Chlamydomonas reinhardtii: one gene and its partner. The protein of the gene in region 2 interacts with the protein of the main gene of each other region in a pairwise test. Links are inferred from orthologs where the notes say so. Each region holds a gene or a part of one and is shown on either strand. Other genes may lie near its edges.

Region 1 (6,264 bases), on a different chromosome or scaffold from region 2:
TGCACGCGACAGGCCAAATTGCGCTTGCATGCACGCACCCGCGGACAGGATCACAGCGGCAGCAGTGGCCTTGGCCTTCTCCACAATGGACGCCTGGCACTTGACAGCCGAGCGACGGCCGCTGCTGGTGAAGGCGCGAGGGGCCTTGGGGGTAACACGGAGCGACTGCATCCTTGTATCGGTTGAGCAAGTGCGAGCAACAAGCAAATCAAGTGTAGTAACTGTATGTAAGCAACCGCTCTGTTACAAGTTACGTCGCACCAAACGAGTGTCAAGCCCGGCATTGGATTGGAGGTTGTGGCCGTGCCATCCCCCATGAGGTCCACACGTCCTCCGCGGCTGCCCGCTTGCCCCTCCTTCGCGCCGCGCCGCCCCTCTCGCTCTCCATCCTACTTCCACCACCTGCCTCCAACAATTACCATCCAAGAGCCCCATGCCACAAGCTCCCCTGGCCCTTGCACCATCATGCTGAACGCAGCACGCCTGTGGCTAAGGCCACCACATCGTTAAATCCGCGCTGGCGGTGGAGCCAGTACGGTGTGCGCATGGGGTCGGCCACACTCGCCTCGTCCAGCGCCGCCTGCATGATGGCGGCAGCAGCAATGTCCACAGCAGGTGCAGGTGAGCGGGCTTGGGACAGTCATTGAGAAGAAGATGCCGATCGAACGGCGCGTCACACGGCGTGTGGGGCTCTCGCGTGTGCTTATCGCAGTCCCTTCGCTGCCGATGTATTGCGCTGCCACACGTACTGCAGCAGGGTAAACCCCACCACGGTAACAGCAACCATGTGTGACCTCGGTCCTCGCCAACAAACCCCCGCCTCCTAAATGAGCCCCGTCACCATTACCTCCCGCCCATGATTGTTACCCACGCACTCATCATACCCGGGAGAGTCATCCACCATGCCCCTCCATGCGCTCTCATCCCCACCGCAGCCGCCCACGCCCACCTGCGCCAACTCGCATGCCATGATCGTCGCCGCCACGCGCCCCGCCAGCACCACCTGCACGCCCGCCTGCGCCGGCCCCGGCGCCACCGTCGCCGCCGCCGCCGCCGTGTCCGCCTGCGCCGCCGACAGCGCCGCCTGCCCCTCATAGAACAGCGCCAACACGTCGTAGGCGGGGCCGCAGGAGGGGCAGTCGTTCAGCGCCTCGCAGCACAGCGTGTGGACCTCGGCGCAGCGCGACAGCGAGCGGGGGCTGCTGGCCCAGGGCTCCAGCGAGGCGAAGAGGCCGGTGAGGTAGCGCCAGGGCGACTCGTTGCGCGGCGCCTTCTGTACGGCCGCCGCAATGTACTCCAGCTCGCTGTGGGGTGGGGGTCAGCGGGTTGGGGTGGGGGTTGGGGGTTGGGGTTGGGCAGGAGGCGGGGGCAGGAAACAAGCGAGGTGGTGGTTAAGTATGAGAGCGAGGCATGGGGCGACTGAGGGGCGTGCGGGTCAGAAGATGGTGAAACAACCCTCGCCTCGCCCCTCGCCCCATGCCACACGCCCCCGCCCGCCCCACCTGCGCAGCCAGCCTGCGTCGTCGCCTCCACCCTGGAGCCTCAGCCGCGCCTCCTGGCCCATGGCCTTCCACACGAACATGCGCTGGTTCCAGGCGGTGTTGTTGCGCACGTCCCGCCCGATGAACTCGTCCGCAAAGGCCAGCTCCGCCTCCCACAGCCCCGTGATCTGGGCATGAGCAAGGGGGGGCAGGGTGGCGGAGATTGATTGGACAGGGCCAGGGGCACAAAGTAAATGGCCTGCAAGGTGGTGAAAAAGCAACGTGGCTGGTATGTTTTAGGATAGTTGCCCTGCCCTGCCTTGCCAGGCCTTGCAGGCCTTCGTGCCAGGCCCCCTCCCCTACCTCTGCACTCTCCTCTCCCCTCCCCCTCCTCCTGCCCCTGCCCCCGCTCCTGCCGCCGCCGCACCTTGACGACGGCCTGCCTGTGCGCCCAGGCGTGGTAGTTCTTCTCGTCAAAGATGATGGCCTCACGCGTGAAGGCGTCCTCACGCGCGGCGCAGCTGGGGCCGATCTACGACGGGATGCGACCAGGCCAACAGGGAGGGGCCTCACTGAGGGGCCTCACCTCTCCCACCACATTCACTTGATCCTGAAACTACCCACTCCTTTCCTTAATCCCTCCCGCGCAAGACTCGCTACTGCTGCCTGCCTCCAGCCCTCCCTCCCTCCCTGCCTCCCTCCCTCCTCCCTCACCGCGCCCGCCACCAGCCTCCTGTGGTTCCACAGCTGGTAGTTCTTGGCGTTCTCCAGCATCACCCCGTGCGTGAAGTCCAGCTCCGGGCCTAACGCATCAGCACCCAGCTGCTGCACACACAGCCACCTGGGCGGATGGGGCGACGCGGGAGGTGGAGGAGGGGGAGCCAGAAGAACACAAGCACAGAGTATGGACCGAAGCATAAACCCGCCCCGCCCCGCCACCCACCACCCCTCTGCTTTCCTCCTGAACATAAACTCCTTTACTTTCGGCCCGCTCCCACGGAAAGTGGTAAACCACACCCACTTGCTTGGATGCGCACTGGCTATGTGTACGCTGGCATGAAGAAAGAAAACACATACACATACACGCACACGCACACGCACACGCACACGCACACGCACACACACGAACGCACACACACGCACACGCACGCACCTGACGCGCCACGCGGTGTAGTCGGCCTGGTTGAGTCGGATCATGTCGGCGGTCAGCGCCAGCACGCGGCCGCTCAGCTCGCCGGACTGCAGCACCGCGCGCCAGTACCCCAGCGCCTCGGCGTGCTCGGCCGTGTACTGGATGGCCACCACCTTCTCCGCAGCCGGCAGCGACACCGGCGTCACGTCCGCCCACTCCGGCCGCCGGGAGTACGGCAGCGGGCCGGCGGCGGCGGCGGCTGCGCCTCCCCCCGACATGCGAGCAAGTGCTGTCAAGCTGTTTGGCTGGCTGTGCGGCTAAGGCGTGCTTGCCGTCCGCGTGTGCTGACCCGCTGCTGCTAGGTGCGGCGCTGCGTGAGCGGCGGCTGCGTTGAAGGTGAGGGCCTGCCCCTATCGCAGTGTGTGGCGCGGCGCCTCAAACAGCCAGCTGCACCCGCAACGGTCAGGTGGCGCAGGGTGCGCGAAGGTTGCAGGTCGGGATGAGAGCGCATGGCGGAGGGCGGGTGGAGCGGAGCTGTCGACACGCGCAAACTGATGTTCTTGACAGCAACAAGAAAGTTCAAGTACAATGGCAGCAGCTGCAGCAGTCATCAGGACTGCGCATCAGGACACGGCGCAGCGGCACATTCCCATCAAAGCCCCGCTGGCCGCCACAGCCCCAAGTCTGGACTGCTGCCGCAGCGGCTCCGGCAGTGCCCGAGCACTTACTCGTCCTTCTTAATCTCCGCCCGCAGCTCCGCGAGCTTCTTAACGTTCTCGGCCACAAGCTCTGCATGCATTTAGGCGGTAGGGCGGTTGGTGAGGGCGGCGCCATCCCGCGGACGCCGGCGCCCCCGCCCTCTTCTCCAACCCCTCGACTCTTGCAGCAAGGCGGGAGATGCCAGAAGCAACCCCGCAAGGCGTTTACGTCTGCTCTTCTGCACCTTTCAGGTGCGCAGAGGGCTGCTGCGTGCCGGCAAACAGGTCTGTGGGGGCCACCGCAGAGAGGAAGGGGTGTGTTAGTGGGCTGCCCCGGGCGCGACGTGATTCCGGAGCACCCTGACGTCAACCTCCTAGATGCGCTTCAGAAGTCGCAGTGCAAGTTCCTCACTCTTGCCAGGAACGGGAGCCACTGCGGTGGGCGTAAAGTAAGCTGCGTACTGTGGCGCTCTGGCGCCCGGCTGCGACATTCAGGCCTCAAAGCACTTAATTACGGTTTTGGAGCAAGGTAATGCTGAATGCAAGAGTTTCGGCTTCGTCAGGCCTCGATTTGAGAAACCAGCTGAATCCACTCAGCCCATGCCGGAGCCAAAATTCGAGCGACGAAAAGCCAGGACAACTAGCTCCCGTGTATCTTGAGTTTCTTTGTAGCCTAGTTCAATCAACGGGTCTGAGCCTTTGCTTGCAACTTTTCCTCCGAACACGTTTTACACGCACCTGCAACAAGGCCAGTTCTGCGACGGCGAAGGCGTGATCAAGGTAAGGTGTGTTAGCGACAATACAAAATTGCATTCAGGCGTCTGTTGCTTTGTTTGGCGGGGGAGTCGTCGCCGGGCGGGCAACCGTGCAATGCGGGCTTCCGCGCCACGGGCGACCGCGCGTCGGTGTATGCTAGCCGACCAGTGCTATCGCCGTGTGAGGTTCCGGCAGAGCATGACGCCAGCTCCGCGTCAGTCGGCACTACAGTGCACTCGCTGCCACGTCCGCCCGCCGACTGGGACTCGGGCGGAACGTTGACGGCCGGACGCGTCCAAGCTCAACGCTGGCCGTGCATCCTTGCTGCCCCCACAGGTTTGTGCAGCACCTCCACGAGCGAACGCCAAGGTCTTTGCCTGCCTCGCTCCGTCCCCAGCCGTCTAAGTCACAGCAGCCAGGCGCACCGGGTATCCCGCCGACCGGGCCCGTTGTTGCCGCAGCCGGCACACAACCATGTCAGCCTCAGCACAAAAACAGCAACCACCACAAGAGCTGATGCCGCCGCAGCGGCCGCACCAGCACCAGCCGACGCGGCCGTCCACGGTGACGCCGGCCGAGCACACTGCCATCGGGGCGCTGGGCGGCACCGTGGAGGTCTGCATCATGCAGCCGCTGGTGGGCATCAAGAACGCGCTGCAGGTGCGCGCGCGTGTGTGTGCATTATCAGCGCGCGACAACAAGAGCAAAAAGATAGGGAAATCGTATTATCTGGCTCCCGACCTCGACACTCCCCCTCTCTCCCCCTCTCGCTCCCTCTCGCTGCTTCCCCGCGGCCCCGCGCAGGAGGGCCGGCCCATCCCGCGCCACCCGGCGCACCTGTACCGCGGCCTGCTGATGAACATCGTGTCCATGGCGCCCATCACCGCGTCACAGGTGCGCGCGTGTGATTGGGTGTGACGGAGTGTGGGTGTGCGAGAGTGAGGGTGGGAGTGTATGTATGTGTGTGTGTGTGTGTGTGTGTGTGTGTGTGTGTGTGTGTGTGTGTGTGTGTGTGTGTGTGTGTGTGTGTGTGTGTGTGTGTGTGTGTGTGTGTGTGTGTAGGTACGGCTGTGACTGCATGCCCACCGCCATACCAGCTGAACAGCGCGTCGCGCAGCCGCCAGTCCCCAGCACGCGCTCCAGGCGCTGCGGACACTCGTCGGGGTCGTGTGGGTGTGCACATGCCGGTACACAAGCAGTGGCTGGCCGAACCCGCCGCCACCCCTAAAACGCTGCGCTGTTGCAACATTGAACCCCTCCTCCCCGGTGTGTTTGTGCGCACACGTCTCGTGTGTTGTGTGTTGTGTGTCGCGCAGTTCGGCACCAACCGGCTGATGCAGACTGTGGTGCTCAACAAGTCGGAGGCCGACCTCACGCCGCTGGAGCGGTTCGGCAGCGCGGGCGTGGCGGGCGCGGTGTCGGCCTTCATCGCCTCGCCCTCGGAGCTCATCATCATCCAGCAGCAGGTGATTTGGGGGGCAGGGGGAGGAGGCACGAGGAGGAGGAGGAGCAGGAGGAGGTGGCGGGGGCAGCGGTAGGTGTGGGTGGCAGGGGCGGGGGCCTGCATGCGGTAGTTCAGGAAGCGAGGTGGCGCATCATGTACAGCGGGTGGCACTGCAGGGTGCGGCCAGTAGGTCGCATGCCGCCGCTCATGGCCTCACGCATTCGCCCGCTGTGCCCGGGTCCGCTCCGCCCCGCTCCTCAGAAAAGTGGGAGATCGCTGTCCGCGGAGACGTCCCACTTCATGCAGACCTACGGCGCCTCGTCGCTCGTGCGCGGCTTGGTGAGTGCCGAGTGCGTGGGCGGGGCTGGGGCGGGGCGGGGGCGGGGAACTGTTGGGCAGGGGCTGGGGGCTGTTGGGCTGGGGGCTGTTGGGCTGGTGCGAGAAACAGCCAGCTGATGTGATGGACCCGGCACATGCGGCGTGTGCGCTCTCACACACACGGCGGGGCTGGGGGCGGGGTCACGGGGCGGGGTCGGCAAGGTGTGTCGTTTGCAGTGGCTGACCAGGCGCGTGCACGGCTGCGAAGTCGGCCGCCTCCCCGCCAGTTTGAAGTCTGTACGACGCCGTGCCTGTACGCCGCCATTGCAGTCAGGCCTTGCCGGGACGCCCGGCCCCCCTCCTGTGCCAATGGCTTGTGCAAAACACATGAAATGAATGTAACCCCCTGCCCCTTCGCGACAGATACCCGCCATC
Region 2 (6,408 bases):
AGCCAAGGAGTTAAGCTGCACGTCTGAGGCGGCTTGGGGGAACGTATCAGGTGGCCATTGCCACCACGCTTTGCCACTACCCCCTGAACTCATGCACTAACCCGCACAACACATGTAAGGTGTTTCGCCACGCCATTTACGTCGTCCCGTTTAACGAGCACAGGCACACATCCGCACGTTCCCGTTCAACCATGTGCTCTCAAAAAGTACACGCACATCGCACACATTCCTAAGCGCTTTGACCTGCCCATGCCGCCCACCTGCGCGGTGAGCATCTCTGGGTCGGGCGGCGGGAAGATGTTGAAGGCGGACACGTTGATGCACGCCATCTGGGTGGTGGCAGCCTCGCCCGCCTGACAGGGCAGCAGGTGAGGCGTGGGGCAGCGGGCAGTGGGCATGGGGCGCAGCAGCAGTCAGCAGGGGGGGCGGCACCAGGCATCATGCACCACGCAAGCGGCTGGTGACGCGTGACACGAAAGGTTAAAGGCCCCGGCGTGGCGTGACGCGACGAGAGCTTGACTGAAGACCGGAATGCTTCGCGGCGCAACAACAACAACAAGAACAACAACACGGCGTTGCTGATGATGAATGAAAGCCCCTGTGCGGCGTCCTTCTGCAACACACACCACAATGCGCTTCTCTTGCGCTTTACTCGGACACACGAACACCCACCTCGTGCGCCTTGGCTGCCTGGTCCAGCAGCTCCCGCGCCGCCCGCGCCTTGTCCGCGCTGTGCCGCGCTGCCGCACCCTTGAGCGCGCCGTCCGCCACGTCGCTCGCCTCCAGCGCCCGCGCACGCAGGGTTTCGTAGGCGTGCATGCGCCCGTGCATCTCCTCCTCGGCCTGCAGGTGGCGGGGTTGGCGGAGGCGTGTGTATGCGTGTTGTTGTAAATATCCAGTACCAGCAGGGCGTTTGCGTTTGCATGTGTGTGGTCAGGGCAGGATTTGCGGCTAAGGCTATTGCCCATTGCTGCCTACCAACACAACCGTGACACCCACTCAAGACGCGCAAGCAAGACACGCCCAACTCACACACACACACTGTGCATGACGCGACTGCGCACGCGGCCTCACCAGCTCAAAGGGCGGCGACGCACCCATCATTGGCGCCGGCAGCACCTGCACCTCCGGCCAACCTGCGGAGTCCTGCGGCACCTGCAGCAAGCAGGCGGACGCACGCATACACACACAAGACACACACGCATGTAACATTGTGCAGCTAACCAAGCTTGGAGGTGGGGTTGTTTTGAGAGGAACGCACACAGAGTTCTGCACTGTCGCCCGCATTACCCGCGCGCCCACAGCCGCCTTTCCCCGCCCCGTCTGCCTGCCTTCAATGTTGACACCCAACTCACCGGCGGCGGGCGCAGCGCTGATGGCGAAAGCATAGCCAGCAGTGGGAACACGCCGCCCTGCCAGAAGCTGCAGCCGCCAAAATAAAATCACAGTACCAGCATCACAGAATGTCCAACAGCCACCAACTGCCTTTTCATGCATGTGTTCGCCTCTGTTGCAGGGTGCTGCCTACACCAGGACCGCTTGTAAGGCGCCATTGTGCCTCTCCCCGTGCCCCCCGCTTGCCCCGTGTCACCTCTCTCACGTTGGCATTGGACCAACTACTCATGGCAACAACTCCCGCGGCCGCGCTCGGCCCCCGTGTCCACCCCCACGCACCTGTAGCAGCCGTCGACCAGCTTGTTGGTGCGGCCATTGAAGCCACCCTCCATGGAGCCCTGGGGGCGCGGGGGATGGGGGAGAAAGCGGCAGAGGGAGGCAGTGTGTGTGTGTGTGGGGGGGGGGAATTAAGAAGTGAAGGCGTAGTCAGGTACAGTAGTATAGCAGACGCGTTGTGTGTGTGTGGGGGGGGGGGGGCGGCAGGGCCCGTCAGCTACGCCACCCGCATCTCGTATTACGTACTGAGAATAAAGACAACCCCACCCCCACCAACCTCAAACCTCCACCGACCGCCCACGCCCCCACCTGGCGGTGCACCAGCCAGTGTAGCAGGCGCGGCACGTCCAGCGTCGCCGCCAGCAGCCCCGGCCCGCCCGCCAGCACCAACGCCGCCACGCCGCAAAAGGTGTAGCCGCCGTGCGCCTCGTTGCCCGGCTCACCGCCCAGCCCACCCTCGTAGGTCTGGTGGTGGCAATGGAGGGCAGTGTGCGCGGTGTGACGGTGCCACGCAATCCCCAAAGAGCGCAGCTGTCAACTGGAATCATCTCCCCCGGCACCGCCACTCCGGCACTGCCCGGTGCCGCGGGCCGCCAATGCCAAAGCGCGTGCTCGCATGCAGCCGCACCCCATTCCTCCCACCTTCCAGCTCCCACTGCCTGCGTTCCGCCCCGCCCCGCCCCCTCCCCTTCCATGCCCCCGCCTCTTCATTCCGGCTCTAAAATCTTGACTACCTGTGCACCTCAACCCGCTCCTCCTCCCCAAACACACACGCACCTGGCACGCGCGGACGTACCCCGCCAGCCCGCTGCGCGCCGCCAGCTGTTGCTTGTCCGCGTCCAGCCCCAGCATGTGCGCCACCGCCATTGCCGTGTAGCAGGCGCGCAGGTCGCCCTCGCCGCCTGGAGAGCGAGAGCGAGAGCGAGAGGGAGAGGGAGAGGGAGAGAGCACGGGCCACGGGGAAGAGGGAGGGGAAGCGGGAGCAGAACAGGGCAGGGCAGCACAGGGTAAGGCCGCGTGCGTGGAATGGGCGGGATGGTTTGAAGGACTGACAAAGCATGGGTCTGGAAAGACGTGCATGGAGGGCTGGCGGGCGCGGGTTTCACAGGGGAGATGAGAAGGTGGGCGGGTCGTGTGAGGCAGCGGGTGGGCTGATCATGACCTGGGTGATGCGCTGGTGACCCATGGGCGACTGGAACACAAGGTTTGCCCATCCAGCCTGGCCAGCCAGCCCCTCCGATCCACCCCAATGCCTCCCACTTGATCGCTTACCCTCGTGCACGCTAAAGCCGCCTCCCTGCTCTGGAGGGATGCACATCCGCAGCAGGAAGCTGCGCACGGCCGCGCGGTCTATGGACCCCAGCGCCTTCCCGCCTACAGTCACCGCGGCCGCGACAGCTGCGTAGGTGGGCGCCAGATGCGCCAGCTGCATCGGCCCGCCACCATAACCTCCCGCCGGATGCTGGCAGCTTTGTAGGAAGGCGACAATATCGTCCGCCGTCACATCTTTCGGAAGCGGGGCCCCCAGCAGTGCCAGCGAATGGACCAGCCAGTATACAATCCATGTCCGGCTCGCATCCAGCACCGCAAAGCCAGAGCTCAGCTGGCCAAGCCCGCTGTGCAGGTAAGCGACGTGGTTTTCGCGATGCAGAACCAAAAAGTCATGTATCTCCTCAGCGTCCTGGATTCCTTCTAGGTCCTGGTAAAAGGGCAGCAGCTTTTTCTCAAGCGCATTTTGTGTTTTCGAGGTTGTCGTGGGCAGCCCGTCCTCCCACATCGTTCTTGGCTTCTGACAAGATAATACTACAGTTCTTTACCTACATTTACACAGCAGAAACGAGTCCTGCAAGTCCGTGGCTGTCGGAGTTGCCTAACCTGTAAAATGGCAGCTCTGCCGCGTTTCATTCCCGTGCGTGGCCCCGGCGTGTGCCGGTCCTGCCTGCTTTGCCCGCCGCCACCACGATCACGTCACTCCTCGTAGACAATGAAAGCCACAGTTGAACCCGTAGGGTGCACGCGCGGGCTGTGCATGGCTGGCGGCCTGGCGCCATGTCACCCTGACCTCCCCTGTCCCTAACAGGGTGTGTGATGGGACAGGGTTCAAGGCAGGTTGGCGAGGTCCCACCACATATCCGCAATGCGTTGGAAGGAGTTCGAACCCGGAGGGTCCCTACTTGGAGCACGGTAGTCCAATAGTCGAGATCAGGGTGGAAAGCGTCACCATTCAGGATGCACTGAGATGCACGCCGGTTGGCGTTGCCTCGTTGGGCACCTTTGCCAGGCTTTGGGATTGGCATTGCCAGCCGGTGCCTACGGTATCTAACGCCAGCATGCAGACTCCAGACATCGGCTTTGTATTTGTCAATTTACAGGGTAACCCCGACGCCAGCGCACTGCGACGCCTCTCACCCTCTCAGTCTACACCTGACACCACCTTGCCTTGCACACTTGAACCACGCACGAAATCCTCCAGTCACCCACCTTACATGACTCATGTCCCAGACACAACCCCTCGGCTCACATCCCAAAATTGCCGGGCTAGGGTCTTGCCTGCCACCGCCTACCACCTGCGAAGCAGTCTGTCATGCAAACATGCCGACTCTCCGCCTCAACCTACCGCAACCGGTAGTCAAGAGACGCCGGTCCTAACCACGTGCTGGCCCTTAGGTTCTGAGAGCCCATGGTAAACCGACCCGTGCTGCACTCAGGCGCGGAACGAGCCAACGCACAACGCCTGTCAAGCTCGCCTCCGGCTGCGGCTGCTGCCAGCTGTGCAGCGCCATTGGCTAACCGTGTCCTTCAGATCTGCGCAAACGCCGGCCTGGCCATGCGTGTATACTCGCAAGCGCTTGAGGCGCTTACTTCTTCTTGCCAGCAGCGGCAGCGGCGGGCTTCGCCTTGGGCACGCGCTCCTCGAACATGCCCTTCGCCTTCAGGTTGTCAATCCGCTTCTTCAGCTTCTCCTTCTCGTAGTCCATGCCCTTGGCGGCCATGTCCGCGACCTGGCATTTGATAAAGAGACAGCAGCAGAAATGCCTTTGTGAACCAGGCCCCGGTAAGGCAGAGCCCGACGCCACCGCGTAATGCGCTGCAGCCACGCCATTTCCCCGCATTGTGAGCCTAAGAGCATGAGCAACCAACACTGCAAAGCCCAACGCTGTGTCCCGCCACGCAAACTCACCAGGGCTTTGTGCGCCTGTGGCCAATCGTAGCCACGACGAGCATGCAGCGCAACGGGTGGAAGGGCAGAACCGTAAGCGCCGGCATTGCAGGAACCCTCAACTACTCAGCTTAGAGCTGGACAGCACGCCTCCAAGCTGCGTGGTGCAGCATCAAACCCTCCTGCCCGAATCCTGGCTCAAGCCCAGTCAGAACCTGTGTCACTTGCCCAGTTCGCATTCCGGCACCCTGCCCACCTTCTTGGTCCACTTGGTCTTAGCGGCCAGCACCTCGGCCTTGCCGCCGGCAGCCTCAATGGCAGCCTTGGCAGACTCCGAGAAAGCGGTGGCGTGCACGTTCAGCGACTTGCTCAGGCTGCCAGTGCCCAGCACCTGATGCAACGATGCAGCGAATGAGAGCACGATGTGAGCACGAACCCTGCTTGACGAGGTCTTCAAATGAAGAAATTCCCGTATGCATGTCCCGCGATCCCAGTGTTGCCTGTCCAGCACCTAAAGGCTCGCAACCTGACGCCTGCGTTGTACATGGCCCACCGCCAGTCAGCCCCTTTGTGCCTAGGCCAAGTACGCTTACCTTCAGGGGTAGGGAGGCATCGCGGCCGCTGATGCTCTTCACCTTCTCCTTCACGGCAGCCAGGGTCACGTCCTCGCCAGCGTTGAAGTGCTTCTCCAGGTCATCCAGGTTCACCACCACGAAGTCGGGCAGGCCAGCGCTCATGCCTGTTGAAGCGCCAACACAGGACACCGCAGCAGTCAGTCCCCACGTACACGCGACCTATTCCCGTGGACCCGGAGCAGGCCAGGCCTGCTCTTGCCCCAAACCCCTGTGCGTGTCTGCCACCCATGCCCGCGACACGAGTCACGCGCGCGGACTGCTCCGGCCACAGCCACGTCCACAGGCATCAATGCCTTGCGACACGCTCGCGCAAGTCCCGTGCCGCAAGTCCACCGACCCAGAACATCTCCGAGGAGCAATGTACAATTACAGGCACTGGCTTCTGGTTCCCGGCGCGTCACCAGCTCGGTCGAGTGGTGCCCTCGGCAATTCCTGAGTTCAGCCACAAAATGCCCCTCCAACTCAAGCGTCGCTTTGCCAAACCGATGCCCAGCCGTGCGTGCCCGGCGTAACTGATATACGCAACCTACCGCCGGCAATACCACGCAGCTTGGGCAGGCGGCGGTAGAGAGGGGTCTGGCCACCCTCAAAGCCAGGCCGCACGCTGGGGCCCGAGCGCGCCTTCTGACCACGGTTACCGAAACCGCAGGTGCCACCCTACAAATACAGGAAGGCGGCAGGTCGCATAGTTGAGCTGCGAGCACCACCCACATTCTGCGCCGCAAAAGCCTCGTCCCAGTCCCGCACCTGGCCAGCAGCATAACCACGACCCTTGCGCTTCTCATCACGCCGGCTGCCGGGCTCGGGGCTCAGGTTGTGCAGGCGCAGGCGAGCATCCGAGGACGCGTTCACCACAACAAGAGAGCGGGGCTGGCGAGCCGCCGTGAAGGGGCGCACCGAAGCGCGCGAAGCCACCTGAATTCCCATAGAATGGAAGATAGC

Evidence for each region.
Region 1: the proteins of CHLRE_14g612500v5 (region 2) and CHLRE_01g016950v5 interact in binary tests that used the Arabidopsis thaliana proteins (3 or more experiments, as listed by UniProt). The link is inferred for Chlamydomonas reinhardtii from reciprocal best matches to the Arabidopsis thaliana genes ERA1 and FTA.

Annotation. Positions count from the first base shown.
Region 1 is NC_057004.1:2,829,101-2,835,364, forward strand, and holds CHLRE_01g016950v5 (uncharacterized protein), read right to left. Parts: upstream 3,823-6,264; 5' UTR 3,724-3,822; intron 3,599-3,723; 5' UTR 3,557-3,598; intron 3,403-3,556; 5' UTR 3,342-3,402; intron 3,061-3,341; 5' UTR 2,892-3,060; coding exon 2,635-2,891; intron 2,323-2,634; coding exon 2,196-2,322; intron 2,014-2,195; coding exon 1,909-2,013; intron 1,670-1,908; coding exon 1,503-1,669; intron 1,305-1,502; coding exon 950-1,304; intron 581-949; coding exon 464-580; 3' UTR 307-463; downstream 1-306. Other genes in the region: CHLRE_01g016900v5 (uncharacterized protein), read right to left, coding at 39-171; CHLRE_01g017050v5 (uncharacterized protein), read left to right, coding at 4,542-4,727, 4,872-4,961, 5,384-5,533, 5,773-5,850, 6,253-6,264. UniProt on the Arabidopsis thaliana protein: Essential subunit of both the farnesyltransferase and the geranylgeranyltransferase complex.
Region 2 is NC_057017.1:681,303-687,710, reverse strand, and holds the start of CHLRE_14g612500v5 (uncharacterized protein), read right to left. Parts: upstream 3,516-6,408; 5' UTR 3,449-3,515; coding exon 2,944-3,448; intron 2,574-2,943; coding exon 2,449-2,573; intron 2,137-2,448; coding exon 1,981-2,136; intron 1,734-1,980; coding exon 1,675-1,733; intron 1,423-1,674; coding exon 1,356-1,422; intron 1,156-1,355; coding exon 1,075-1,155; intron 844-1,074; coding exon 673-843; intron 354-672; coding exon 261-353; intron 1-260. Other genes in the region: CHLRE_14g612450v5 (uncharacterized protein), read right to left, coding at 4,530-4,673, 4,853-4,867, 5,088-5,222, 5,425-5,570, 5,997-6,123, 6,214-6,381. UniProt on the Arabidopsis thaliana protein: Catalyzes the transfer of a farnesyl moiety from farnesyl diphosphate to a cysteine at the fourth position from the C-terminus of several proteins having the C-terminal sequence Cys-aliphatic-aliphatic-X (CaaX).